Struthio camelus: one gene and its partners. The protein of the gene in region 1 binds, or shares a complex with, the protein of each later gene. Links are inferred from orthologs where the notes say so. Each region holds a gene or a part of one and is shown on either strand. Other genes may lie near its edges. The genes, in order: CNOT1, CNOT2, NANOS1 and DDX6.

The links.
Region 2: the proteins of CNOT1 (region 1) and CNOT2 are in contact, whole or in part, in a crystal structure (PDB 5FU7), measured with the Homo sapiens proteins. The link is inferred for Struthio camelus from reciprocal best matches to the Homo sapiens genes CNOT1 and CNOT2. Residues at the interface, in NP_057368.3 of Homo sapiens: His1864, Ser1865, Ala1866, Ala1867, Arg1870, Asp1871, Gln1917, Pro1921, Ala1923, Pro1925, Ala2003, Tyr2036, Leu2039, Glu2040, Ser2043, Arg2045, Ile2048, Ala2049, Ala2053, His2054, Leu2079, Leu2084, Lys2086, Gln2089, Ile2090, Leu2091, Tyr2092, Lys2093, Gly2094, Leu2096; in NP_001186231.1 of Homo sapiens: Met350, Val351, Asp353, Gln354, Phe355, Gly356, Met357, Ile358, Gly359, Leu360, Leu361, Phe363, Ile364, Arg365, Gly372, Met373, Val374, Leu376, Ala377, Leu378, Gly379, Ser380, Asp381, Leu382, Leu385, Leu387, Asn388, Leu389, Ser391, Glu393.
Region 3: the proteins of CNOT1 (region 1) and NANOS1 are in contact, whole or in part, in a crystal structure (PDB 4CQO), measured with the Homo sapiens proteins. The link is inferred for Struthio camelus from reciprocal best matches to the Homo sapiens genes CNOT1 and NANOS1. Residues at the interface, in NP_057368.3 of Homo sapiens: Ile2327, Ile2330, Lys2331, Trp2338, Glu2350, Phe2353, Gln2354, Val2356, Ala2357, Met2361; in NP_955631.1 of Homo sapiens: Phe40, Ser41, Ser42, Trp43, Tyr46, Leu47, Leu49, Thr51.
Region 4: the proteins of CNOT1 (region 1) and DDX6 are in contact, whole or in part, in a crystal structure (PDB 4CRW), measured with the Homo sapiens proteins. The link is inferred for Struthio camelus from reciprocal best matches to the Homo sapiens genes CNOT1 and DDX6. Residues at the interface, in NP_057368.3 of Homo sapiens: Glu1097, Ala1100, Phe1101, Phe1103, Asn1104, Asn1105, Leu1106, Ser1107, Ser1109, Asn1110, Lys1114, Lys1137, Arg1138, Ile1141, Glu1142, Asn1144, Phe1145, Leu1148, Tyr1149; in NP_001244120.1 of Homo sapiens: Phe329, Ser330, Arg331, Leu332, Gln333, Ile334, Asn335, Gln336, Leu357, Gly358, Tyr359, Ser360, Leu384, Arg386, Asn387, Ala402.

What each region holds. Positions count from the first base shown.
Region 1 is NC_090951.1:23,133,207-23,140,635, reverse strand, and holds the start of CNOT1 (CCR4-NOT transcription complex subunit 1), read right to left. Parts: upstream 3,001-7,429; 5' UTR 2,865-3,000; intron 1-2,864.
Region 2 is NC_090942.1:41,015,374-41,022,908, reverse strand, and holds the start of CNOT2 (CCR4-NOT transcription complex subunit 2), read right to left. Parts: upstream 3,011-7,535; 5' UTR 2,872-3,010; intron 1-2,871. UniProt on the Homo sapiens protein: Component of the CCR4-NOT complex which is one of the major cellular mRNA deadenylases and is linked to various cellular processes including bulk mRNA degradation, miRNA-mediated repression, translational repression during translational initiation and general transcription regulation.
Region 3 is NC_090948.1:7,455,871-7,461,513, reverse strand, and holds NANOS1 (nanos homolog 1), read left to right. Parts: upstream 1-4,181; 5' UTR 4,182-4,186; coding exon 4,187-4,957; 3' UTR 4,958-5,125; downstream 5,126-5,643. UniProt on the Homo sapiens protein: May act as a translational repressor which regulates translation of specific mRNAs by forming a complex with PUM2 that associates with the 3'-UTR of mRNA targets. Capable of interfering with the proadhesive and anti-invasive functions of E-cadherin.
Region 4 is NC_090963.1:135,020-142,346, forward strand, and holds the start of DDX6 (probable ATP-dependent RNA helicase DDX6), read right to left. Parts: upstream 3,013-7,327; 5' UTR 2,879-3,012; intron 1,864-2,878; exon of another isoform or gene 1,656-1,863; intron 698-1,655; 5' UTR 430-697; coding exon 230-429; intron 1-229.

The DNA of each region.
Region 1 (7,429 bases):
AAATCTGAAGTCCTCTATACATATTCAGAAACAGCCTTACAAAGAAAATCATTTTAAAAACTTCTTTAAGTTAGCCTTTGGTTTGTTAATATTTTGCAAAGCTAAATAACTTACTCCCATTGGGTTTCAAGAGCTGTACAGATTTAAGGCCATGTGTATTCCATGCAGAGGGTAAAACAGCTCAAGTGACTGAAAGAGCATCAGGCTCACTGGTAAAGTTATAAGTTCCTGTCAAAAAACATCTTCTAAAATATACTATGAGCAACACCACTAACCTGCTCTTCAGAATAAGTCTCTTACTCATTTCTGCAAAATCCATGCACAAATAGAAAATATGAAAGAACTGCACGCTTCAAGAGACCCATGTTAGAAATACTCCTAAAGGGAGGAGGGGGAAGGTTTCAAACCACATTACAGTTAAGTTAGATTACAGGCAGTCATTATGAAAACTACGCAAAGGAAAACCTTACAGCATTGGTCACATTAATAGTACAGTAAGCTACAGCTGAATTCCACTTGTTCAAATTTAGGTATTTACACATAGAGGAACCACCTGAATATTCTGTTTACTGTGTAACTACACACAGCTCCAATCAACTGGAAGTCACTGATGCTGATTAAACATGGTAACTAATTTGGAGATAACAGCTGAACTAAGCACACATGCTTATGCTCCTGAGTTAAGGCCAGTTAAGTTTCAGGTGCAGAACCTACCTCAAACACATCAGGCATACATCATGACATGGCAACTTTACACATCTCAACAAGGTATTTTCACATCTCAACAAGGACATTTTACACTAAAAAAAAAAAAAAAATCCAAGAAACTTTCACATCCTCCTTTCCCTTCAGTTAGGCACTGCAGCATAAAGTTTCCATTTTAGATAAATTAAGGACCCATTCTCAAAGGCAGTAGACTGCTTTTTCCATCCAAAAAATGTTTTAGAACAGTTAAGTGTTATAACAAAGAAGTAAATGAGAACTGCACTATTTGTAAGAGTAGCCAGGGTTATGAAACAAAACAGAGATCTGACTTCAACGATGATTCTCAGTGGTACAATTCTCCCACTATTTATTGATGACCAATCACAGGGTCACAAAGCTTCACTATCCACTTTTGCTCATTAATAGCTGCACAGTCTCTGTTCCACCTTATTCAGTATTGCCTTGAATACCAAAAGTAACCATTTCAGCATCAATTAAAAAAAAAAAAGTATTATGTATCTCGGAACACTATGCCAGAAGAATAGAAAGGATTAGGTCCTTCTCCAAAGAGGGGAGATAGGCAGACACCAAGTTTACTAAGAGTTTGGTTTAGGGATATCAGGACAATGGGATCAGTAGTTAAAAGCCTACTTATAAGCATAAGGACAAAAGAACCAAGGAAATAACTATTCTAGAAGGGACAAGCACATCTATGTATTACCTGCTAACTTTGTTTCCTGCTTACAACACAGTTACCTCATCTGGACTAGCTCTACCTGTAGTTTTAGTCAATGACAACGCAGTTACCTTAGAAATAGGAAGCATTTAAGTTACATGCCTCAAGAATGACTTGTCAAATGTCATACCTGTTTTGTTACCTGCTTAAAAAAAAAAAAAAAAAAAAAAAGGAAGCCAAGATGCACAGGGAGTATATGTTGTACTTCCTTCTAAAAAGTCAGACTCAGAAACAGACACTGTCTAAACTTGTGACACAGTGAGAGGCTAAGAGTCCCTATTCATTATATTTACACACAAAAACTTTCCATATTATCTCATTTCTGTTTGAAGTACAACCTAAGAAAATATTTGTGGTCTGCTGAAATTAAATCGTGACTGACCACTAACCTTAATCCATACAGAGGATGTAACACTAACTCAGAGTAAGACAACTACTGCAAAGGACCTATTTCTAAAAAAATAGTATCTGTCAAAACAGCCAACTGTTGATAATCCTAGTTTTCAAATAAGCAAGTCTATGCTACTATGCAGGGTGCCCTTAACGAGATGACAGTGCTGAGATGCATCTCTTCCGTGTAGTCTGCAGCAAGGATATACTACCAGATTGTACTACTATATTCCACTGTTTACGCATTACTTTTTTTTCACTGGGCAAGTCACAACAACACAGATCTTCTAAGGAGGTCACCAAATCTAACTCATGGGTAGGCCCAGCGCCTGCTCCTTTTCAAATTTCTCACAGCTTCGCCTTTCACGATCAACTCTACAGAAGTAGAAAGTAGACAGAAACAAAGACAAAATAAATGGCTGAAGACTTCGCTGTCATCTCGAAGCGATCAAAACGCAGTCTGTTCGTGGAGCTTTTCTTCCTGCGCCGAGAACCGCAAGCAGCATCCCGCGGACCTGAAAACACTCGCGGCTCCCATCAGTTATCACCACCATGCACGGCCCAAGCCGACAGTGAGGCGAAACCCTTGGAAGTGAGACCCTTGAAAGTTTGTTCGCCTTTTGCTTCCTTCAGCGGGACGCCGGCTCGAGAAATGGCAAGGGCAGCAACGGGGACGCGAGGACCGGGACAGTGGCGGGCAGGGAGCGGGGCAGGCCAGGCCTCGGGCGCCCCAGCGGCAGCACCACGCGCACCCCGGAAACGACGGGCCCCGCGGGCTCCCCCTGCCGGCCCCGCCGCCTCCTACCCTGCTCCCACCGCCGCCGGGGCCTGGCCTCGCCGCGGCCCACACCACGGCCCACCAGTCCCCCTTGGGGGGGGGGGGGGAAGAGGCGGGGGGGGGTCACCGCCGACACCGCCCCCCTTCGCGCCGGAGGCTCCGGTGCTCCGACCACCACCCCACCCCCACCCGCCGCCTACTGGGACTGCCGGGGCGCGGGCCGAAGCGAGGCCAGCCGCAGCGGGCACCTCTCACCTCAAGCGGTGGGTCAGGGCCGGAGCAAGGCGGGGGGCTGGGGCAGCTCGCGCTTTTATCCTCTCGCCTCCGCTGGTTTCGCTACAAAATGGCGGACGGGGTCGCGCGCTCACGTCGCGGCCTTTCCCCTCCCCCGTCCCCTCGCGGCACGGCAGCGGGGGGGGGGAGGGAAGGCGTGGAGGGAGAGGAGCAGCCACTTAGCCTCCCGCCCCCTCGCCAGGGGCTCACCCAATCAGAGCGCGTCGCCGCGCTCGGTCTACCCAATCAGCACGGCGCGACCTCTTGGGGACGTTCACCCATCTTCCCCCCTCCCCGGCCTTCCGCGCGGAGTAAGCGCCAAGCGCCGATTGGCCGAAAGGAGGAGGCGTCCTTCCTACAGCTTTGGCCAATCAGAGCCGGAAGGCATCCTGACCGAAGCATGCGCAATAAGCTGCCAATCAGCGCTCGCAAGGGGAGGAGAAGGCTCGAAAGGCCGTCCAATGAGCGCAGGGCGCTCCGCTGGGGGCGGGGCAGGAAGGGGAAGTGGAAGGGGAGCGCCAAAGGGCGCGCGGAGTCATGGGGGGGAGCACCGCCTCCGCCCGCCCGCCCCCCGCACTAGTGTCGGCCACCCCGGAAGGGCCCACCCGCCTGCGTGGGGGGCGCCTGGGGACCCACGCAGCCCGCCTCGCCGGGGCCGGCCGCCGGGACGGCTTCCCTCCCCGCGAGCACACGCAGTGGTACGGCCCACCCGCTGCCCGCTGTGGTCCAGACCCTCCATGCAGAGCACTGCAGCACCCCCCTCAAGACTGTGGTACAGCCCCAAGCATTGGACTGCCCCCCCCCACAGTGTAGTGGTACGGCCGCGCATGCTGCATTCCCCCTCAGCAACATGCACTGCAGCTCCCCCTTGCATTGTGCTGATAGGGCCCCACACACTGCCTTCCCCCACACCCACACAGTCCAGTGCTGCAGCCCCACACACTGCACCCCCCCCCTCGCAATCCACTGGTATGGGGCCTAAACGCTGCATCCCCCTTGCAATTGGGTGGCATGACCCTGCACACTGCAGCACTCCCCCTTGGCTGGCAGTGCAACAGCCCCACACACTGCAGCATGTCCCCCACAGTGCAGTGGTATGGCCCCCTGCACTCCCCCCACCACATGCACTGCATTCCCCCACTGCACTCCCCGCAGTGCAGCAACTCAGCTCCATGCACTTGCACCCCCCACCCCCGCACAGTGCAGTGGCCCAGGCTCCCTCCCAGGGGTGCGCACGGAGGCCATTTTGTGCCAACCTGCCCCAGAGACCTCAGCTGTGCTGGGCCCTGCCCTGTCCTGCATGGGAAAGGGAGGTGGGCTGCCCTGCCTTTCCCCCATGGCATCCCTGCCAAAACCACTGCTCCATTTGCCCACTCAACACATTTATTCCTATGTACATATACACAGACAGGTGAGCTGAACCCCTGCCCCGCAGCGTGCGGTGGCGGGGTGCCCAAAGCAGCTGGCCTGACCCCACAGCAGGCAGTGCAGGGCACTCACACGTGCGAGGTCTTGGACAGGAGACTCTTGCACATCTTCAGCAGCCGGCCAGGCCAGACATGTTGCACCGTGTGCCCCAAACCCCGCACAGGTGGGAAACGACAGGTGCCATCAGGGCGCAGGGCGGTGCCAGGCCAGCACCCCTCCCGGCCCTGGGGCAGCCCTGCGCGCAGGGACAGCACCTACCTTCACGTTGCTCTCTTCTACTCTTGGGAGAAGCCAGCAACCCAGTCGCTGCAGTACCAGGGCTGGCAGAGCCAGAGAGTGGCCTTCGAATGCAGCTGTGGTGGGAGTCTGCGGCGGCCGCCTCACCCGCACAGCTCCCAGGTGGGCAGGTGGCGGGTGACGTGCAGAGCTGCCTGGACATCGACACAGTTCAGCTCAACGTGTATGGCCGCAGCGTCGAGGCAGGCCGGCACGCCAGGGACGGAGCTGGCTTTCTGGCGACGAGCACACGGAGCAGACCGCACGAAGAGGCACCTGCTGCAGCAATGACCTCAGGGCTGCTTTTCACCTCTGGACCTTCCTGCTCCCAGAGCCCCCCCCCCCCCTCTCTCTCTCTCTCTCTAATCCCCTGAATTTCTGCTTTCAGGGCTTGCACTATGCTTGCTCCCTTCTTGCCTCCTCTCCATGCCTCAGCCCCTGTGGCACCTGTTTTGCGTCCCCGGAGGAGGACCTTGGGCTCCGGACCCTGAGATCCAGACTGCCAGCCTGTCCCCAGGCATCCCCAGGACCTGGTGGTGGGCGTTCTCCAGGGCACAAGGGTGTGAGGAAGAGGATGAGGCAGAAGGACCAGAGGGGCGATCCCGCTCTCCTCTGCAAAGCGCTTTGCTCCAACAGATTCTTCCTTCCTCCTCTTTTTATCTTTTTGCACCCCAAACTGTTCCTACCAGGAAGAGGCAGCTGGCCCCCCCTCCCAATGCCCCGGCTTTGCAGAGCACCCCTGCCTGCCTGCAAGTGTCACAAGGGCGTCGGGGCTCAGACAGGCTGTGCTGCTCCCTGCCCAGCACCGCCAAGCCTGGCAAGGGCCTCCGCAGAGGCAGGAGGGGCAATCCCGCGCCCCGCCTGCTAACGGCAGGCCCAGCAGAGCTGCAGTGGTGCCTGTTCACAGCTGGCATAAATCTGAGTGCAAGGCTGGCAGTGACATGTTCCCAGCCTGGGATTACTCAGCAGCCCCTCGACATTAAAACGGTCCCGGTGCAAAACGCTGGAGAAGTTGGCCGTGGAGCGTTGCTGGTAGCGGCCCCCCCCCCCCCCCATAGCAGGGGGCGTAGAGATCGTAAATGTTGAGGTCAATGCCACAGATGATCCCGTACACCTCCTTTATCTGGGAGAGCGTGAGGGAAGGGCCGGGCTTAGCCCATGGCAGGGAGAAGCCCCCTGTCAGGGCTCTGCATGCATCAGAGCCACTAGGGACTCTGCACAAGGTGGGTGTCAGGGGACGTGCCGTACACTGAGCCGCCCCATCCCCTCCTGTGCCCCGAGCACCCCCGAGCAGAGCCCGCCGCTCACCGTGGCCATGCAGGCACTCTTCTAATTGCTGTTGAAGAAGTTGCAGACACCACTGGCACGGCAGTGTTGGCTGAGCGAAGCTCACACCTGCGGGCAGAGGCGGGAGAGGTGATACCCCCAGATGGGACATGGTGGAGGAGGAACACGCCACACCACCGCTACCGGAGATGAGCATTTCCATCATAAGGGCCCCAGCGAGGCACATACATGCCTCCTCCCATGCCCTGTGTCCCCCACGCACCCGGAGACAGCTGGATTCTTTGCTCTCCCTTTCCCCCCAGCTCTCCCCCATTTGCAGCACCTGCTGTTTGCCTCTTCCTTGCACAGGTCCCAGGCAGCTAAGCCGTGGCCCATGGATGAGATAGGTCCTGCTCTCCCCCACTCACTCATCCCCCATGATCCTGAGGTAGCAGGAGAACTCCATCAGCATCAGGTCGTTGAGACTGTAGCTGCTCATGCCATTGCTGATGCCGAAGCCCTGCAGGAGGAAGAGGAGGAGAGTCGTTCCCATGGAGGGAGAGCCCCGCATGCTCCCCTCTTCATGATGGGCCGTGCAGGCAGCATGAGCTACGTCCAGGCCACAGCAGGTATGTCCATCCCAGTGCTCAGAGAACTGATAATATCCTGGGTGGGTTCCCTATTGCCTTGAGAAGGATCCAACCCCCCGGTATGAGTAGCTCCCTGAGGGTCTGCATGGACGCAAGGTCTAATCCCATGTGGTGGGGACATAAAACATAAGGGACAACATGTGCCACCTCCTACCAGCAGAGCCCTGCTCTACCAAGCATGTGTAATCCAAGAGGGACCACAAAACGTCCTTCCCCTCTGTGGCCCCAAATCCCACCCCATTTCTGTGCTATCCTAGCACCACATTCAGCCCTGTGGGAGCACCAGGCATGTGGGGAGCTGCCCACCCCTGCCTCAGCCCCCGGGACACCTTCCTGCACCGAGCTGGGGCAGAAAGCAGCATTCAGCTGCACCGCCTGGGCTGCACAGTCAGTCACCCCCTCTAACCATACCTTAAAGTTGATAGATGCTGATCCATGAGCGATCTTGGCACTGAGCATGGGGATGTAGACCCCCCTGTGTAGCTCTCACCAAAAACATAGAAATCATTGCTGATGAAGCTGGGGAACTTGGCAAAGAAGATGAGGAGCACCTGGTAATTGCTCCCTGCCACCTCGAAGGCCACCAATGTGGCCTTCATGACTGGCTTCATCTAGCCTCCATGGCTGGCTGTGGGGGCAGACCATCTCACCAGGGGGAATGGAGGATATCTGATGTGCTGCTGAGGCTGGTCTCCATCCTGGCTGCCCTGTTCACAGCATCCCCAACCACCAGCCTCGCTGGAGGCAGCGCCGCCAGACTCGGGGTAGCCCCCAGCTCCCTCATAGACATTCGGCTCATGTGGTTGTCTTTGATGGACTGAGCACTGGCAGAGGAGTAGGAGTAGCCAACATTGTCCAGCGATTCCAAGTAGAGCGTGTTGGCCACCTTATTCCAGCTAAAACAGATCATATAGAGGCTCCCATCAT
Region 2 (7,535 bases), on another chromosome or scaffold:
ACAGACTATCCTTTATCATTTAGAGAGCAAACATCTAAATTTGTGACAAAAAGTTTTTTGACTGAATATGGTACTGTACCTCTATACAAACTGGCATAGAGCCCTTCTAAGCTAACGTTTAGAAATAAACACAACAAATATGACAAGTATTTTGCCAATGATTTGAGTTTTTTTTAAGAATACATCCTTTACAGTGCCTTTTAAAATCTGTATTCAAGTATGCTATAGCTTTACAAGCAGAAAAAATCTGAAAAAAGTTAAAAATTTGCACTCAGAAGCTGAGCTGCATTTTCTATACTACCTCATAACAAAACAAAAGCTATTGAATGTTTCTCTACAGTTTCTAGATCAAGTCAGAAAGTGGTGTGCAAGAAACCTCTATTTTAACTAAATTACGGTGTATTTTTAGTTACATGCACCTCTTGAGTCAATAATAACAAGGAGGTACGAGATGTTTTTAAATATATAGAGCTATGATCCAAGGTTGTTTTTAAACTATAATGAAGTTACAATCTTGCAACTTCAGAAAAGACAGGCCCTTGCACCAACACAAGAAATAAATTAAAAAATAAAAACACAGTAGAGGCTACAAAAGCAACGAATTTTCTAATTTCAAAACTAATTCCTGTCTAGACAGAAATTCATTTAGAAATTCGGCAAATACAACACAAACACTTTATCAGAGCTACCATTCCATTACAGGTATACACAACTTTCATTAACGGGCAAAGGTAAAGACCAACACTTTCAGGTGTAAACAGCTAGTTGTGGCACCAGTTTTTAGTATCAAACTTGGACATGTTAACTACCCCATTTCTTCCACTGAGTACCAATCATCTAAAATTAGACTCATTTAAAGAAAATACAAGTTAAATTTCACAAATTCTAGGATTTTTGTTTTTAGTTCTTAGCCAAGGGCTTTTGCTTTCATTAGTTGTTACTGGGGCTACCCGTGCATGCATCAGTTCTAACAACAGCTCCTTTGACAACAATATTAACTTTCTAGAAGAGACGTGTAGACAAGGTTTATCTACTAAAGCTCTCTTAGCTTTATCATCAGCTTCCTGAAAGTGAAACGGAAATACACTTGCAAGTCAAGTCACTCAGCTCACGATATGAAGTATTCAAATCCCTTCCTAAGATCTGAAGCAGTTGACACCTTCAAGTTTATCATGTCAGCTGAATTCTCAGCATAAACAATAGTGGCAGTAAAAAAAATAAAAAAAGGTACTGGACACATACATAGTCTTTAAGATCACAAAACTGGATTTTGCAAGCTGTGTTCTATTAACATGCGATTATGAAAGAACTTGAAGAACACCAATGTACACACAGCAGTTCTTCTAGGTCCAAGTAAAGATATCTTTGCAATGTGAACCTACAAAATTATCTTGCTTTTACAGGCCTTTGCACGTTTTAGGAGTTTGAAAAATACCCCAGTTTCCAGAAATAAAAAGATTTTTCCTAACTGATGTGACAGCAGGTTTGATCATCTTAAACTGCTTCCCCCCAGCTGGAGTTAAGTCCAGTGGCCAGTCACCAGCACCAGATGTTACTGCTGCGCAGGCCAACGCAAGTGCTTCCTTCACACGCTCAAGCTGCACACACATACGCACATATAAAGTTTCCATCTTCCCATAGGGATAAAATAGCGCAAAGTCAGAAACGAGTTTTTCCCAACACAGCCTTGTGAGAAAGCGGAAGCTGCTGAGCCACAACCAACACAAGCAGGTTGTCGTTTTGTCATGTTACAACCCTCCCTGAAACAAAGCTACCTGTAACGTGATTAAAAAACATAAATTCTAAACCCGTGATATTTGCAAGCAAATCAGAGTTCCAGTCAGAAGCGCGCACACACACGCACACACATATACGACAGGGTAAACACTGCGCCTCGCACTCCTCCCCGCCAACGGGGCTCTCCCACCGCAGCCCGCCGCTCCTGCGCGCTGCCCCCGGGCCAGGTTCACGCCAGGGCGCCCGGACCGAGGCACCACCGCGCACAGCACGGCAGCATCCGCGCTCGGCACAGCGGACCAGTTCGCTCCAAGTTTGTTTTACAGACACGGTTGAGGAAACACCGGAGCCTCCTTACACATCGCCTTAACCGCCGCCAGGAGGAGAGTGAAACGGGTGCACGCACAAATATATATATATATATATTTATAAAAATGTATACAAAATTTTTTTTAAAAAGCACATTTTTTGAAAGAAAACAAGGAAGAAGTATCCCCGCCTCACCCCCTTTCCTCAGCCGGGGCCTCCCCGGGGCACCGAGGGAGCAGGCCGCAAGGCCACTCCGGCGAGCGGCGCCGCCCGGCAGCGGCGCCCCGGCAGCGCGGCCCGTGGGCGCCCGCAGCGCCGCGGCCGGGGGCGGCGGAGGCGGCGCCGGGGGCACCGCAACGCCGGGGCGGGCTCGGCGGGGCGCCGGCGGCCGCGGCTAGGCCCGGGCCGGGCCGAGGGGCTCTGCCGGCGGCCGGGAGCCGTCCCGGGCCGCGGTGCCGGCCGCAGGAGACGCGGGGCCCGGCGGTACGCGGGGCCCGGACGCCGCCGCCGCCGCTGCCGAGCCGCGGCCTCGGCGGGCCCCGAGCGGCAGCGGCGGCGGCGGGCCGGGCCGAGCCGGGCCGGCGGGCTGCGCTGCCTCGGCGGGCGCCGCGCGTCCCCCCCGCTCCCCCTCGGAGACAAAAGCAAACGGAAACCCGGCGGGGCGGCCGCGGGCCTGCGCGGCCCCGGCGCGGGCGGCGGAGCCGCGGGGCCCCGGCGCGGGCGGGCGAGCGGGCGGCGGCGGCGGCGGGGGGCCAGGCGGCGGCGGCGGCGGGCGGGCGGCGCGGCGAGGGGGCCGAGGGAAAGGCAGAAACGGGCCGGACTCACCGCATGAATTTTCTTGTCCCGCGAATCCAAGATGGCTGAGTATCCCAACTCGGAGGATGCTGGGGGAGCAACCTTTACCCTCTGACCCGGCCGCCGCCGCCGCCGTGACCCCGCCGCCGCCGCCGCCGCCGCCCGGCCTGGCAACGCGCGCGAGGGGCGGGGAGAGGCGGCGCGGGGCGGCCCCGCGGGGTGCGGCCGGGGGCCGCGGCGGGCGGGGGCAGCAGCAGGAGGAGGAGGAGGAGGAGGAGGAGGAGGCAGAGACGCGGCGGCGGCGCTTCCCTCCGCCTCCCGGGGGAGACGCGGCCCAGCGGCTGGGACCGCGCCGCCGCCGCCGCCGGGCCCCGCGGCGGGCAGTAGGCCGCGGCGCCCCGCCGGCCCCCATTTTGTGAAGGCCGCCCCGTGCCGCTGGGGACATGGCGGCGCCGCGGGGGACCGTGCGGGGCGGCCGCCGGCTGCCCCCCCCCCCCCCCCCCCGCTCCCCGGCCGCGCCGTGGCTCGGGGCCGTGGGGCTCGGCCTAGGGGGGCCGAGGACGGGAGCGGCCCTCCCGATGGGCCCAATTTTGCTCAAGCTGGTGGGGTTTTTTTCTGTGGCTGAGGTAGCGGCGGGCAGCCAGGCCCTCCTGTGCGCTTGGCCAGATATTAAAATGGGGAAAAAAAGTTGCCCAGATGGGACTGCTCTGTTATTTTGTCCTTTTGTTTTCTTTTTTTTTAATTTATCACCCTGAAAGTATGTGTGTCGGTGCTACGAGTAGGGCACGTGCGGATGCCCGAAACACTCCCAATGCAAATAATCCCCCTGAATTCAGTGGGACTGTAAACGGTGCTGAAGCTAAGCCCGTACATGAGTGTTTTACGGTTGTGAGCTGACTTCTCTGCCCCATCAAGAAAAGCTGTTAGTGGAACCTTCCGCATTAATTTCATTATGAAATCGTCATAAAGTTTGAAAATTCAAACCAAAAAATGAACATACTTTATCAGGAACAGGGTTTGTTTTTTTTTTTTCCCCAGTCTCTTCATAGGCATGCTTTCTTCATCACTCAGGTACCTTCATAATGAATGTCTCCAAACAGAACTTAAAAAAATATGTATGTTCAGTAGGTTACACAACACCTACGTTTTAAAGAAATGTTAATATCTACAGTAATACATCTGTCAACATAAGCAATTTTTGAAGCTGAAAGAACACATTCTGCAAGCTAGGAAACTGGTTCATTAATGCCATCAACTTTTTGCTGAGCACAGTTACAAGGTGTCATGTCATTGAAATAAATATTCATACACTTCACCCAGGAAAATATTCTATTTTATTATCCTTATTTTGGAACCTTTCCTTTGTATCTCAAATACCTGTATATTTGCTATAAACTAACCATTATAAAAGCCCAGAAGTGACATCCTGTTTTAACTAGAATATCTATGAGATTTGGGAGTACTTTTGTTGTTCAATCTAAAAAATATTTCTTCATATCACGTTACAGACAGTAAGGCTATGCTTTCAAACTGAAGACAATAATGAATCTCATTAATCCTTGCTCTTATTTAATAAGCTTTTCTTACTGCCTTGCTGACCATTGCACATCCCTTTTGTAAAAGTTTTACTCCATTATGTTTCTTTTTATGCTTCAACTGAGTTTCTTTTTCTAAATTTCATTCTGTTCCCCAAAAGAGAGACATCATTTAAGACTTTACAATGTCCAGTACAATATGATGCAAGTAAACTAAACATCTGATGTTTTCGTTGCATCTGCGTGGACTGATCTCTGTATCCATTACCAAGTTACAGTTCACATGCAGGTCAGTTAACATTCATGCAAGGCTATATAGTTCAACAGAGCCAGGGAATGCAAAAAAGTGTGTTTTCATTGTCTTAGCCTAATATGATAGCGTAAGCAGCAATCGCAACCTGTGTAAATTGTGATTTAAATTCTGTCAGTTAAAAAATCTAACCTGCCTTTCTCCGTGAAATTGTGTGTTTCGTTGTGGAACGCTGTCACTGTGACTATACTATGTGTTTATGTGACTTCCTCATTTGTTTTCTTAAAGAAAGTGAAAGTTGTTAGCATTTTAGTGGTTGAAAATAATCTCAGGTTGATAAATAGACTGAGTTGTGAGGAATGTGTTGCCTACATTTGCTACTTTTACTATTGGCTGAATACATTTTTCTACAATGGTGAGGCCTGTTTTGCGTAGTGGCACCTGCATAATTGAAGAGGTGTTCTGAGCTCATTTAATTAAATGGCTACTAATTGTGTGTGGACGCTCCTAATCCATTTTGAACCTGACCCTTGTATATTCAGTTTGACCTCCTTGGGCAAATCTTTGTCTGCAAACCAATACGCATTTTTTATTTTCAATTCCATTTAATTAAAGGTCTCCCTTTTTTTTTTTTTTGGACTTATTTCACCAACTAGGCTGATAAGCATCAATTTTTTCATCAATGTTAGACTACCTATTGCAAACCTGTATACAGCAGCACAGATGAAGGAACAATGTGTGATGGCAGCAGCTACAGAAAACCTGTCTTGCAGCTCATTGCATGTGCAGGCCCATGCAGTCAAGTATTAATGGGGTTCTGATGAAGTCAAAAGCATAGTTTTCTACATGAAAGGCTGGGGCCTTAATGTGCATATTTTGATGCAGCCATGAAACTCATCTAGCCATTAGTATTCCCAACTGACTGTTGCTTATGCTGATACCCACAGAGAGCTAAAAGCCTACAGCAGTTGGGTGGAGCACTGGCAGCCTGAAAAAACTTGGGAAGGTGGCAACAAGAGGGAGGGATGTGCTCAGAAGCCCTAAATGCTTTGTTATCGCGACTCTGTGAGATCACTGGAAATTCTGTGCAGTTTTTCTTAGTACCTGCTCCAGAAAGCCTCTGTATGCTAGCTGGCTCCATTCAAAGTGGCACTGAGAGATGTGGACTACGCAGTCGCAGAAGCAGGAGGAAGACAAATTGCCCAGAGTATATATGAGGCACGCACGGTTAGGAAGTTCCATCTACCTTGCCAAAATGTAAAATTAAATTCCTGATAATAAGACCACCATCCTAGATCATGAGTGGAGGCAGAATCTGATGAATAGCTGGTCTTGTAATTCATTTTAATTAGAACAAAGAAGTGCATTGGAGAGCAACAAGGGTCTTTCCTTCTTCAACCTATAGATTGCCTCAGTATTCCTTAAGAAAAACAAATAGTGCAATTGCCTAGAGCAAGGATTAGCAGCTTTTCAATGGTGATGAAATAGGCCATATTTCTCTTCCACAAATTGACGTTAGTGCATTAGAAGAAACTCAGATGGAGCCAGAAGATTTTGCCCCTCAGTTGCAAGCTGCCTTTGATTAGCTAAAACAGTAAAATGTTGCCTCCAAAAAAGGCAGAGGTTTCTGGTTTCTACAGAATTTGGAACTGTGTAAGACCCGCCGTGAACTGGGAGCAGCAGCTTCTCACAGATACCTTTCTTGCTGCATGATTTTCAAAACTGTCCATTTGCTGTCTTTGGAGCACGACTGTAGGGTGCTCACCTGTTGACTATTATGCACTGATCTTTGCCTCAGAAGAACGTAGATTTTTTCATAAATACAGCCTATTTGATTTTAGAATATTTCTAAAACACAGGATAAAGATAAGTCAAAGCATATGTTATGCCAAATCTGTTATTCAAGATCTCACCACAAAGATGAGTTTGTTTTTTCAAGAGCGCAGACAATAAGGCCCCTCATTTTCTCACTGTAGTGTCTCGTAGTTCTTATTTATTCCACTGAAGTGGAGCGCTAAATACTTTGATTTGGGAGGAGGATTTGCATAGTTAGGCTGACTTTTGCAAGTTAGTCTGCAGTTTCTAGTTTATTTAGATAAGGTAAGGAAAGGCTCAACTGTTTCCATGGCACTGTCCTCATCTATCCTTTCACTCCTACAGGGGATTTCCAGGGATGGCTACTGGCAAGGGAAACCCTGGAAGTGCAGCTCCATTAGTGTTTTACTGTTAAAATGCAGTACAAGGTATCCACACAGATGGCCTCTCATCTGCTGGATTTGTAGTTTCCAGGAGGGAATACTGGGAACAGGAGGGGAGGTGTCTTCTGTCTCAGATATATTCAGTCTCGGATATATAGTATAGTCTCAGATATATTTTTACTGTCAGGAAACCCTATCTCAGCATTCTGCCGTAGTCCCTTCAGTGTATGAATTAGTGTTAATTATATCAGAGCATCAGGAAAAGAATACCAGGATTAAAAAGAAATCTGCCAATTCTGTAGAATAATATGACCCAAAACAGAAGATAAAATGTAAGATTTTCCAAATATAAGATGCTTCGCACCTACTGTATAACAACTAAGAGGTCAGCCAAAGAGTGTGACTAAATTAAGGGATAAATCAAGAAATAGAGATGGCAGCAGTTTGCTGTAATTCTTAAGACAAAGAGAAGGACAGTGCTACAGACAGAAATATGTTTTCCAAAGGAAAGGAAATATTAGGGAAACACAAGGAGAAGGTGCTGACTGACGTTCCCAAGCGAGACTATCCCTGGAGAGACTGAAATTACAGGAGTGATGACAGGGGAACCCTTAGTATATCAGTTCTCAAGATTGTAGGCAGTGGTGGTTTTGTTGGTGGTCACTGGAGAGTTGCCTGGTGAGAAGCTCTGTTTCTCATTGGAAACTATTA
Region 3 (5,643 bases), on another chromosome or scaffold:
TTATTCCTAATGTATCTCTGCAATGAACCCCTAATCTCCTCTCTGAACTTGACAGCTGTCCTGCATGCACTCCAAAACCCCTGTATTTCAATCCTTCTATCATTCTAGCTAAAGGATTTGTTAGATCATTTTTTCTTTAACATGAAGTCTTTCTTCCAGCACCTCCCTGGCCTGTTATTGGTGTGCGTGAGAGAGTGGCACCATTTTGCTTTGGCCCTGCAAGGCTTCCTGGACCCCAGGGACACCTCACCTGCGGCGTGCTGCCTAAACCACCCTCTCGCCACGGCACTAAAAGGTGGCATTTAATCCTCGGGCATGGTCTGGGGACTCCGAACAACACAGTTGCAACGCAGGGGAGCGGGGTGGCACCGCATACCGGTGGCCACCACCGCTGCTCCGTGGCACTGCGTGGAGCCGCTGCATCCTGGGAGCCCTCCCGCTCACACCGTGCCGCAGCCCGGCTGCCGGGCCTGGGCTCCTTCTGCCCCGAGGGCCAGCCAGCGCGGGCACTGCACACCACCGCACCACATCCCTGGGCTCTGCTGCCAGCGCAGCCCAGTCGGAAGCGACCTGGGCAGGGCAAGGCCACCCTTGACAAACTCCAGCACCCAGCGGGAGCCCCGCTATCAACCTTCCCGTGCAGGTGATTCATGCCCGGCTTTCCGCGCTCACAGCTGCTTCAGTCCGTGACGCGGTTTCTCACGGCTCGGAGGGACTGCAGAAAACTTTCCCCTTCACTGGGCATAATTTGGCCCCTGGTGTTGAATTCACAGTGCCAACAGCTATTTGTCACTTCCATTGCAGCCTCCAATTTTTCCAGGGTTTCTGCGCAGCCTGGCCACTAAATCTTGCACGAGACAAGGCACCAAGACAGCTATGGCCTTACACTATCAAAGACCTTACAGGGGCTGGCAAAAGGCTACTTTGGGATAGACTCAGAAATAGTCCCAGTCTCTGGCTGGAAAGTAGGCACGGAGCGCCAAGCATTGTTTTTTAATGCAGTTCTCAACATTTCTCTGCCCTGAAGCATATACCAGTTTTCCATTTGCAAAGAACACCAACATGCCAGTGATGGGGGAGGAGGTATTCCCTTCCAAGGTGCAGCTTTTTCCTCATCAGCCATTCGTGACAGTCTTGATTTTTGTTTACTCTTTGAAACGGTCTGATGAAACGGTTTCGCTAAGGCATTGATCTGTCCCAGTGTCAGCAGAGGTGTTCCCTGCTCCTGCACCAGCGCTGTAACGTGCCACCCAACAAGCGGGCGCAAGGTCAGTAGGGAGCCTGCTGACGTCCGAGAGCTCTGCAGATACCCCGTCTCCGAGGAGGCAGCCCTCGCAGCGAAAGTCTTGCTGCACACGTGGAGCGTGATTTGCAAACATGTGGACGGGGGAAGGAGCAGAGTGACTCTCGCAGTACACTCTGTATATTTACATTGACAACATATGCTAGGTCTACCAGAGCTGTCGGTGAAATAAAGGGGACTGTTCCTGCCGTGCTAATAGCAGGCGTCTATCCCTGCACAGTGTTTTTCTAGTGCAGATATTTTTCATGCTGCTCTGTGTTCTTCATCACACTCTGCATTGGCAGTGAGGGGAAGAGGACCGTGTTCCTCTTTGCCTGTGCCACTTCAGCTGCTACAGCATAAAGTGCTTTGAAATTATTCACTCTCCAAGACTCCCTCTTAGAAATGTCTAGAGAAGTAGATGAGCAAAACAATTGCCCCAGGAAATGATGCTCAAACATTTTGATTGATCTCCCTGCACTGTTTCACCCATCTGTTACTTCTTTCCCAGTGGCTCCAGCACAACTTGCAGGCGCTCACCCCTCTGGAAAATCAGGCTATCCGTTTGTGTTCAGAGAGGCAGTATCCCCAAGGCTCACTGGGCAAGCCCTGAAATGCTCCACTGAAGAGACAGAAAGCTTGTAACGTCACTACGTCTCAGAGGCTCTGCAAAGGGCTCTAAGGCCAAGCCTGATGCTACACAACTGTGAAATGTCCGTATGGTCAGCTGGTGCAGAACCACGTCTGACCACGAGGACAGCTCCAGCACTCGGCGTATAACTAGTAGAGATGCTCTAAAACGGGACCTCTTTTGCAAATGTTTGCACTACTAACACGAGCCCTGTCTTCCACCCATTGCGTTCACAATCTGAAATGTTTCCAGCCCGCTCTGTTCCCTGAAGCCAACCACACTGTTCTTTGCTGCTCGATACACCCACTTCCAGCCACTTTACACAGCTGGAGAGGTGTATAAAGGCCTGGCGGTGCAGGGAAATCGGTCCCCCAGGAGGTATTTCTGATATCTGAGTTTATGAAATCTGCCAATTTCAGCTGCAAACAAACCACATGCAAATGCTGATTTACCTGCCAGGGGAGCGCCTGTCAGACCCACAAATCAAGGCTGTGCACTGGGGAGACAGATTTACTACTGACAGAAAACTCCACCCACTTTGCTCAGCCCAGCAGCTCTTACCATGGGCTGGAAATTAATAGGATTTTTAATTGCAGCTGCATTTTTAACCCTTTTTGCCCAAAAGGAAGAGTATGCATGTAACGCTTCCCAGAGGGGGATATGATTTCCAGGGGGTGGACCAGCTGTGAATTGTCGGGGGGGGACATGTGTCTCCCTACCACCGCCCCACATCCAGCAGCCCAGAGGCCAGTTTGCAAGCACAGGCCGGAAAGGTGACATAGGCAGAGCTGGGCCAGCAAAGCCTAGGTTGATTGGGTTCCCCAGGCGGGTGCTGCGGGACGCCTGTGTCGGTCCTGCTCTCCGGGACTTCTCACACTGGTGGCGTCCGTGGGCACAGCCACGTCACACCGTGCGTTCACAGCTGTAATGTAGACCAACCTCATCCCATTTGTTTCTAGGGCTGAATCTTCCGGACCGGTTTCACGTGTGCTTCAGCCATGCCTCCTTGGAGACGTGATCCAAAACCTCCTGTTCCTTGTGAAGAGCGGTTGTGAAGAGAAGAAATAATCCTTGCCCCGTACATACTAGCACCTATGGGAAGACATCCGTTGCCCTCCATGAGCTTAACAGGTACTAATCACCTTCCAGTGTGGGGGTTTTATGTTACCAGACTTGTTTCATCCTTACATCACCCCGCTGAAGACGGAGAAGACGACGACGTGAGGCTGCGTGCGAGAGCTCGTGCTTTGCCCGCTCCGAGCTGCGCCGCTCCGGCCCAGGGCTGCGCGGAGGAGGCAGAGCAGCTGGCTCTCGGGAGCCGCCGCGGCCTCCGCTCCGGGCAGACCGCCGCTCGCCGCGCTTTGCCAGGACCGAGGCTGACACAAGCCCGTTCGGGCAACCGGACAGGACACCAGGCAGGCAGTAAGGCACCTAGCTCTCAGATCACCGCTGCCAACCCGCCTAGAGGACAAGGGCATCACTGCGGGATATTCAGACACTAGGTCAACGGATATACTCCTAAAAGAGCGACGCCGTTCCCTTGCTTTGGCTCTGGGGATGGCTGAAGAGCAGCTGGAGGTTAATGCTGCCACTGACCTCTCCCCACAGCACCACAGCGGGCGAGCGGCGGCCCGACCCCAGCACGGGCCGTCACCTTCGGGCGGGGTTTGCCGCTCCCGCGGCCAGCCTGGCTCCCGGCTGGCCGCAGCGTGCCACGGGCCGAGCTGGCCGCTCCGGACCCACCAGTGTCCCGCTCTGAGCGCCAGCGCCCACGAACCGGCCAGCCGGCTGCCTTTCCCGCAGCGCGGGCGCCGCCGGCGGCGTTGGGGGTGTAGAAACGGGGCGGGCTCGCTCGTCTCCGGCGGGGCATCGCCCGCCCCGCTCCCGGCCGCCGCCGCTCCGCCGCCGCTTCCACCGCTGCACCCAGCCGCCGCCGCCGCCGCCGCCGCCGCTCCGCCGAGCACCGAACGCGCCCCCGCCCCGCCAGCCAATGAGCGGGAGGGGGCTCGGGCCGGTGGCCAATGGGAGCGCGGCGGCTGCCCCGCCCCGCCCCGCCGCCCCCCCGCCCCTATTTGAGGCGCGGCGCGCGGCCGCGCGCTCCCAGAGGCTTCGGCGGCGGCGGCGGCGGCGGCGGCGGCGGCGGCGGCGGCGGCGGCGGCGGCGGCGGCGGCGGCGGCGGCGGCGGCGGCGGCGGCAGAAGACCCGACCCGACCCGACCGGGGCGGAGCGGACCCCCCCCCCACCGCCCCGAGGAGCGGCACCCCCCCCCCCATATGGAGGCTTTCCCCGGCGGCAAGCTGGAGCAGCACCGGCACCTGCCGGCCGTGGAGCGCCTGCCGGGCTCCCGCTACGGCGCCCGCGGCCACAGCGGCTGCGGGAACGTGTTCAACTCCTGGAACGACTACCTGGGGCTGGCCACGCTCATCACCAAGGCCGTGGGGCCCGGCAAGGGCTTCGGCGCCGAGCCCCCCTCCGTGGTGGTGGCGGCCGCCGTGCCGCCGCCCGGGGAGGAGGAGGAGGAGGATGAGGAAGAGGAGGAGGCGGCGGCGCCGTACTTCGAGGGCGCGCTGGACTTGCACGACCTGGCGCTGTGCGGGCACCACCACCACCACGGCGAGGGGCTGCTGGAGGAGCGCTTCACCGACTTCAGCCCCTTCCCCGGGCGCGGCGGCCCCGCCGCCCTGGTCTTCGGCTGCTCGGGCGAGCACCCGGGCCGGGAGGGCTCGCCGCACGCCTGGGGCGGGCTAGTGGTGGCGGGGCGGCTGCCGGCGCACCCGCGGGCCGCCTCCCGCCTGCTCAAGCCCGAGCTGCAGGTCTGCGTCTTCTGCCGGAACAACAAGGAGGCCGTGGCCCTCTACACCACGCACATCCTCAAGGGACCCGACGGGCGCGTCCTCTGCCCGGTGCTGCGGCGCTACACCTGCCCGCTCTGCGGCGCCAGCGGGGACAATGCCCACACCATCAAGTACTGCCCCCTCTCCAAAATGCAGGCGGCCAAACAGCTCAAACACGCCCGGACCGCCCTGGGCAAGAAGGTGCGCTAGGCGCGGCCGGGGACGCCGGAGGGGCGAGCGGCCGCGCAGCGGGGCCCCGCCGCCCAGGAGACCTCTTCCTGCTCTTGTCTTTTTTTTTTCCCCTTTTTTAAGATTGTCTTAAGAGCGGATTACGTTTTGTTCTTTAACACATTAATATATTAAACGCGGAGACTAGAGTGTGAGAGTCCCCGGGCTGGTGTCTTGCAGCGGATAGCTTCTAGTTTGTGCGCTTGGCGTTCAGGGAGCCCAGCGCGGAGCCTAACGCTATGTCATGGTAATTGCGCCGTTTAGATGCACTGTATTTGTTTATTGTATAAATATATATATATATATATGGTTTTTATAAGAAAATGGGTTTTACGACGAGATCTAATGGCGAGGCGTGTCGGGAGGGGGTGTTAGAAGAAGCGGTGGGCGGCGGCGGGGCCGGGGCTGCGCGGAGCCGTCCCGCGGCCGGCGGGGGGAGATGGCCCCGTCGGACCCGTCTGCCCGGGCCTCGCGGCGGGGCGGCGTCGCCCTCTGCTGCCTTCTCGCCCGGCCGCCGGGGCAGCGGCGCGCCGCCCTCACCGCTCGGCCCGGCCCCGGGCTTTGTCCTGCTCCGCTCCGGACCGGTGCGCAGCGCTGCTTCCCTCCGGCTGGTCCCTGCTTTCTTGCACAGCCTGTTCCCGCAGCGTCTGGACTGCGTGGAAAAGCTG
Region 4 (7,327 bases), on another chromosome or scaffold:
TTTTCACAACTACTAAATTACTAAAGACCACTGTCAGAGAGACGCTCACACCTGAAAATCCTTTCTTTTTTTAAATGCATGTCACAGGACACCTCTGTCACCAATATCATAAAACAATAGAATAAAAAACTTTTTAAATACAAGAAACCAATTACACTTTCCCATGCATGAAATTTAAATGTTATTTTTACGTCAGCTAACGTTATTTAGTATTTACATGAATACTTACTTAATAGTGGTGGTCATACTCTGTGCTTGCTGTTGAGTGCCGTTATTGATTGTGTTGGCATTTTTCAGCTGGTTCATCTGTTGCTGAGTCTGTGTGCCTCCACCTCCTGGGCCCCCGCTGGGTTTAACAGGGCCTCTCAACTGCCCATTCTGACTGGATAGACCCATTATAACAGGGTTCTCTGTTCTGGCCGTGCTCATGTTTTTATTTTTAAAGATGTCTTTTTAGACTTCAAAACTTTGAAAGTCAGTACAGAAACTGTAATAACAGTTTATTAGACTCTCCAAAATGAAGAGATAAATAAGTCTTGCTCAATATATGAGTCCTTTATTGCAATGCAGGCAAGCACCTGTAAGTCACTCAAAAGTAAAGCAGTAACTTGCTCTGATGCACTGTGGATCAACTTTTTTTTTTTTAAAAAAAGCCCTCTAACAAAGTTGAGTTATATCCAAATTCACTTGCTTCAATCTGAAAAAGAAGCAGATGACAACAATTAATATGTGGATTTCTTGCCTATGGAATTTGCATCTGTTTATATTGTAAAACTGCCTGCAATAACATGCATTACCTAAAAATCACTTCTTCTCAGGCAGCATGCAACACAAAGTACCTGCTTTTCTATTTCCTCGGTTTAAGTACCCCAAACACACCAAACTGTTTTCCCTTGCTATAAAGCTGAGTGCAACACTGTAGGTCACCGGAGATCATTTTGTGAACTTTCAGCAGCCTTCCTGGGATTAATCACTTGAAAAATACTACCTAGCCCCCTTGTAAAGTAGGCATGAATTATATCAGCTGCTTTGCCTATCCTTGAAATGCACCCACCTTTGGGACACAGCAGAGCAGCCATAAAACACTAAGCAACAACATCACACAGAAGTTTATGACAGAAAGTAAGACCACAATATCGAATGGACATTATAGGCAGAATTCAAAAGACCCTTAAGATACTCTGACTTGTCCTTTCAACTAGAAATAGGAATGATGACATACCATCTTAAAAACCCAACCAACTACAGGAGTGACTTGGAAGTTTTCCCTCATCCACCCCCAAAAATTAGTTTAGTCAGCTTACTTTAAACCAATACCCAACTTAAACATTTATAAATCATTCAGAAGAGCAAAACTTATGACATCATCAAGCTGAACTGACAGCAGCTTCCTGCTTTGTTAAGTCTAAATGACTGCACCTAAACTGTTCTTTCATCTCTAGTCTGAAGCAATGAATAAACACATGTACACTAGGTACGCAGCTTCCTGCTTGTGTGCTGCATGACGTTACATTCCAGCTGTCACTAACAATCCATACCGCGCTCAAAAGATAACATTCGAATGCGTAACTTGACAGTGACGTCATACTTAACAAAAGAGTCGACAAAAACATATGCAGATAATATAAAGCTTGTATCTTACATATAGCACGTACATGGCCAGAGTTGAAAAACTCTTCTTATGATGGTAATAGGGAGCCAAGACACTCCCTAGTCTAAAACTTTTTTAGAGGAACAGAAAGTAGGCTTGCAGGTAACATTTCTCATTGCAAAGCATCTGCATCTTGGGACAATACAAAGGGAAAACCAGCAGGCTGATGATTGCCAAGTTCAACGTCCAAAAAAATGCATACTCCTCAGCGACTAAAACACAGATTTAAAACAGATACTGGCATCTGAAGTTTAAAGTGACATAAATACTATACTTAGGAAAGCAGATAGAAACGGAATTCAAACTCTTCTCGAATTGTTCAGCTGTTTCCCAGCGTATTGATTATAGCTTCATAGCATAACTTCAAGCTTATTAGAATTAAGATTATTTCCTAGTTAGTTTCCTGGCTAGAAGCACGGTTTAAACATCTTCTTTGAAAAGACAGCCCCCCTTAACCTTACTTTCACACCCAAACGGACGAGTCACCTAAAAACTCCGGATACACCAACAAGAGTTCCTCCAATGTTTTTATTAAAGGGAGTTCTAGTCCTCTAGCCTCCCTCGTTCGTGCTCATCCTTTGAAAGGCAGCACACAACCTCCCCAGGCCCGGCACACCTCCACGTCCAAAACAAGCAGCGCCACCATTTCACAAACTGGCGGTCCGACCGCAAAGAGGCCCCCGCACCCCGGGCTTCCCCTGCCGAGGCAGCCCACGTAGGCAGGCGCGGCAGCCGCCCCCCGGCCGCTCCCTCCTCCGCCGGCAGCAGATACGACACACCGCTCCGCGGCCCAGCCGGGCGGCACAAAGCGGCCGCCCAGCCGGCCCCGCCGCGGGAACCCCCGCGGCGCCCATTGTTGCCGCCACCCCGGGCCAGGCCGCAGCGCGGCGTCGCCCCGGGCCCGGCGGCGGGGCCGCGCCGCCCGCGCAACGCAGCTGCGCCATACCGGCACCTCCCGCCCGCGAACAATGGAGAAGCGCCCGCTCGCCCGCGGCCCCGCCGCTCGGGCCGGCAGCGAGCGCCGCGGCCGCCGCCGCGCCGCCGCCGCCTCCCGCACCGCCCCGGCCGCAGCCGCCCGGCCCGCGGCCCCTCAGCGCCGCCAGGCCCGGGCCAGGCCCCGCCGCTCCCGCGACGCGGCGCAGGCCGCGAGGCTCGGCCGGGCGGCGGCGGCCTCCATTGCGCTCCCCGCGGCCCCGCGCCCGCCCCGGCGCCCTGGCCCGTCCTCACCGCCACCAGCCGCGCTCCCCCCTCGCTCAGGTATAAAATCCTCTCGCTCCCCCTTGGTGCCTTGTTATGGCGACTCGACGCTCCAAGATGGCGGCTTCCTCCTTCCTCCCGTGCGCCCTCCCCCTCCCGGCAGGGCAGGCCAGGCCCCGCCCCGCCCCGCACGCGCGGACGCACGCACGCAGGCACGCGCCGCGCCGCGCCGCGCCCCGCCCCTGCCGTGCGTCAGCGCGGGGCGGGGCCGGGGCGAGGGGGCGGGGCCCCGGCCTGCCGTTGCGGCTGGCGCTGGGGGTGCCTCCTGGGCACCGCCGCCTTCCCTTCGGCCCTCGCGGCCCCGGCCCCGGCCCCCCCTTGGCTGCCTCCCGCTGCCCGCCCGCCGCGCTGGGCAGCAGCTCTCGGCCCGGCGGTCCGCGCGGCCGGCGCTGCTGCGGCTCGCAGAGGCGCCCAGCTCCTCCCGAAGGAGCTGCGCCCTGTTCTCCTCCAGGGACGGCCCCCGGCTTTCACTCCTTATGAAGAAGGTCCAAAGCCGGGCTGAGCTCAAAACTCCTTCCTTCGCGACTCCATCCCTAGCTTCCTTCTTTCAGCACCTCTTGCCGCCCCCCGTTTTCCTCTCCTTTAGTGAGCTCTGCACCTGCTTTACCATCCTGAACTAGGAACTTTCCCTATGGCTCTGTATCCGCGGTTCGGCCGACATCCAGAGAGACCTGATTCACTGCGCTGCCGTTATCTGCGAAGCCATCTGCCTTGCAAGAAAAAGGAAGTAGGAGGCGAGCGTGTTACGATCTACCTTTGCTAAGCGTGGGTCGCATTTTATACTGCGTTCATTCAGTTCCAGGCCCTCTGATGTGCAAAACACGCGCTGAGCCCTGCGCGTTATTTAGATCAGAGAGACAGGTCTGCCGTGGACCGGATCACGTTCCCTCCCTTCTCATTTGTTATTCTCGACTGACATGGCAGCGCTCCTGCACTGAGAGATACGCACAGATCATTGCTGCTAGACCTGCAATTTCATGCTCCAGTTCTTTTAGTGTTCTGGGATGGAGATTATACAGTCACTGTCCGTGTACACTTGGAGCGATCTGCATTTTGCTTCCCCCTCAGATGTGGCAATTTCCATTTCCACATCCTCATTTCTCTTGAGCCATCCTGCCTTTTTGCCTGTTCTTTTCACTAACAAACACAAAATATTAATTCAGTCCTGGGACACTTCCAGAGATATTAAATTTCCAAAAAGTCTAAAGGCATTGGAGGGTGGGGTGGACAACAGAGAAACACACATACACAATGCAAATACATGTATTGCATTGGCGATGAAGATGCACTTGCACCTGAAGCTACATAAGTATTTTTGCCTATTTACATATCCCTAAAATAGGGAGGAGGGGAAAACATAACACCGAAAACAGAAACCACCAGCCTTGATGACTTCTCTGGCTAAGAAGCAGAATCTATCTCAGACCTAATATCAGAGCTACCAAAAAAATGTATTTCCTAATAAAAAGCCTGGAAACTGAACATGACTTCACTGTGTAGTTATTATAACAGAGTTAACATGAGCAAAACATTAAGGATAGGAGACTGACCCACAGCATGCAGGAGCTAGAATCACCTAATATTACACGTTTGAGATAGTTATTTCCTTTCAATATATCTATTATCAGTACAAGGATTTTGAAGAATTGAAGCACAGTATTAATGTGCCTTCTGTTCCAAGCAGCACAAGAGAGAAAGACAGTTGTCGAACCTTTCAGATGCCAGGGGCATGAAAAAGTTGTACCTCACTTCTTTCTTACTGTGCCAGCTGGCTGCCTTTCGGCCTAATTATTGCAGAGGTACTAGCTGGGACTGTCTTTGTGAAGCCGTTCACAGCATCAGGGACTGTACAGTCCGTTCTGTACAGGACCAGTACTGACTTCTCCAGTGCCTGCTTGGTTCTCAGACCCTGCTGTGGAGAGAGCAGTGTTTCATTTTAACTGTCGGTAGGGCTAAGCATCTTACTTCACAATGAGATTTACAGGACATAGTATGCAGTAACCTTAGGAGAAAGAATAAATGACAACATAAATACCAGATTAGCAAATACGAGTAACATCTGTGGGCAGCACATGGTTTGCTTAGTTAGGATAACAGCAAACAGGATGACTTGAAAACATTGGAAGTGAGAAGATTCAGCAGTGAGAAGTGAGCTGGGTTTCTCAAGCATAGCTTAGGAAGCCAATATAATGTCAAACCAGTCAGTAGAAATGTTTGTCAGTTATGCACAGTAGGGCAATTATGTTCAAGTGGTGCATTTTATCCTCCTTATATAAATCTGAATAATTCAATATTATCGGAATACCTTATACAAGTTAACATAATTTTATGTTAGTGATAATACAAGAATGGTTCTGTAGTGAGAGAATGTTCCTGCATCAGAGTTCAGCCGGGAGTTCCCATGTACGGACACCAAAGCATTCCTCAAATACTTGTCTTTGCACTTTGGTAAGATTTTCTTCCGTAATAGGCTACCCACCTGCTGGCATCCTCTGAAGTGACATTATTTTAAATCTGAGTTTCTTTTTTCTACACTTATTTTTCTTCCACGCTCCTTTCTTTCATATCACGTTTCCTACATTTCACAATTCAGCAACGCAGAGATCCTCTAGGTCACATCGGTATGGCAGCAATCATCTACTCAGGGTATTGTGGGTTTGCAATTTAAATCACTTGTGCCTATCGCTTTGGGATGAACTCTTTTCATTTCCACCACTGGTCTAAGGGCCAAGCACATGGCTTGGGGGTCGTTTCCAGCCTACAGTTCCCTGTAGCATTTCCTCCAATTGACTGCAGGTACATCCTGCGTGCTATCCTTGCAACAGAGTAAGTTCTGCGGTACCACTTTCACCTATGAACTCACAGTACTTTACTTCGCCCTTCGCTTCCACTTTGCTCAGGGGGCAGCTGGGCGGGGGGGAGGGGGTAAAATTTGTTCGAGGTCGCAAGAACAGAGGCCTCATGGGCAGAGCTGGTCATAAGTGCACCCTGCTGCAGGTACGGTCCTCTGGGAACAAGCACCACCGTCTGTGTGAGCCCTTAAAGGAAGTCAGTGATGGAGAGTGCTCCACCCTCCGTTTCTAGTTGAGGGAAAACATCCTCCTTAATCTCTCTGTCTCCTCAACACAGAGGTACCACACTTCGGTCCTCGTCCCTCAGCACTGGCAGCTCAGCACCTTGGGACACGTGAGCCACACAGAGTGAGGCTTGCTGCAGCAGGGCGCCCTCTTGGTCTTTACTCCACCCACCAAGCAGGGCATGCGAGGCACAGCGCGACCTCCCAGATGGCCTCCCTCTACCTCGCTGCTTGTCATCCTCTCGCTCCAGTGTAAAAAAGGGCACCTGAGGGCTGCCCCCGAGAGCGCAGGCCGGTGCACGAGGAATTTCCTCAGTGATGGGGGGAAGGAAGGATGGCACCACCCTCAAGGCAGCCGTGTCTCTGCTCATGGCTGCCTCAAGGTGATTGTCCATCAGGCCAGGGTCACCGGTTCACCGCTAAGAGGCATCAAGAGCAAATAAAATCAAATGGTGCTCACCAGAGTAACTTCTCCTTCCTCTCTGATCTGAGTCCCATCAGACTCCTTTCCAGTACAGCGCCTTCAGTGCAGCTGCGCTCAGACAAGAAGAGGGCAGGCACCCTACACATCAAACCATTTTGTCTCCTCACAAAGATAAAGGCCCCTGCCAAAAGCAGCCCAGGCCACAATGTCACTCTGTGCTGCTCACCTCACCTGAGGTTTGCACACCATGAATTTGCTGCTACGACAGTCCTGGGATGAAACACTCATTTCCCAGAGCGGAGAGGTTACCTTTATTATGGGCAAAATTATGGGCTTTTCTTTACATCATACAGCAGATCATTTGTTTCTGTTGTAGCGCTAGACAAGCCTCTGCTCACTAATGTCATTCTCTGGACTTGTGGAGCAGCCGCTGAGGCAGCGCTTTCCAGCGCAAACCACTGCAAGCCAGCCTGAATGAAGGTGAGGGCTGAAGCAGTGGGAGAAGGAGAAGAAAAACAGCTGCAGGTCACTGAGGTTAAAGCAGATTGTATGACCCAGAGGCAGAGGGCAACGGTCCCACAGACCAGACTTCTGCGTTTCCTCAGGCATCTTGAACATCTTGCATAGCTCCAGAAAGTCGCCCCAACCCAGGGAGATTTCTAGTAAGACCGTCCCTCAGCACAGTGCTCTCCAAACCCTGCCAGGTTGTTCCGGCCTTAGGCCCCTAGCAAGGCAGTTGCCAAGAGCCCTCAATGTTTGCAGGGAGCAGCTAACGCGTCCTTTGGGGCTTCTTTGTTACAGATCAAAGGAACCATAGACTTCTCAAACTTTACCTTAAAAATCAACTTACAACACTTTAAAACAAGGATGATCAAGCTAGATACTAATCGTCACATCAAATAGGTCTCTCTATGCTTGG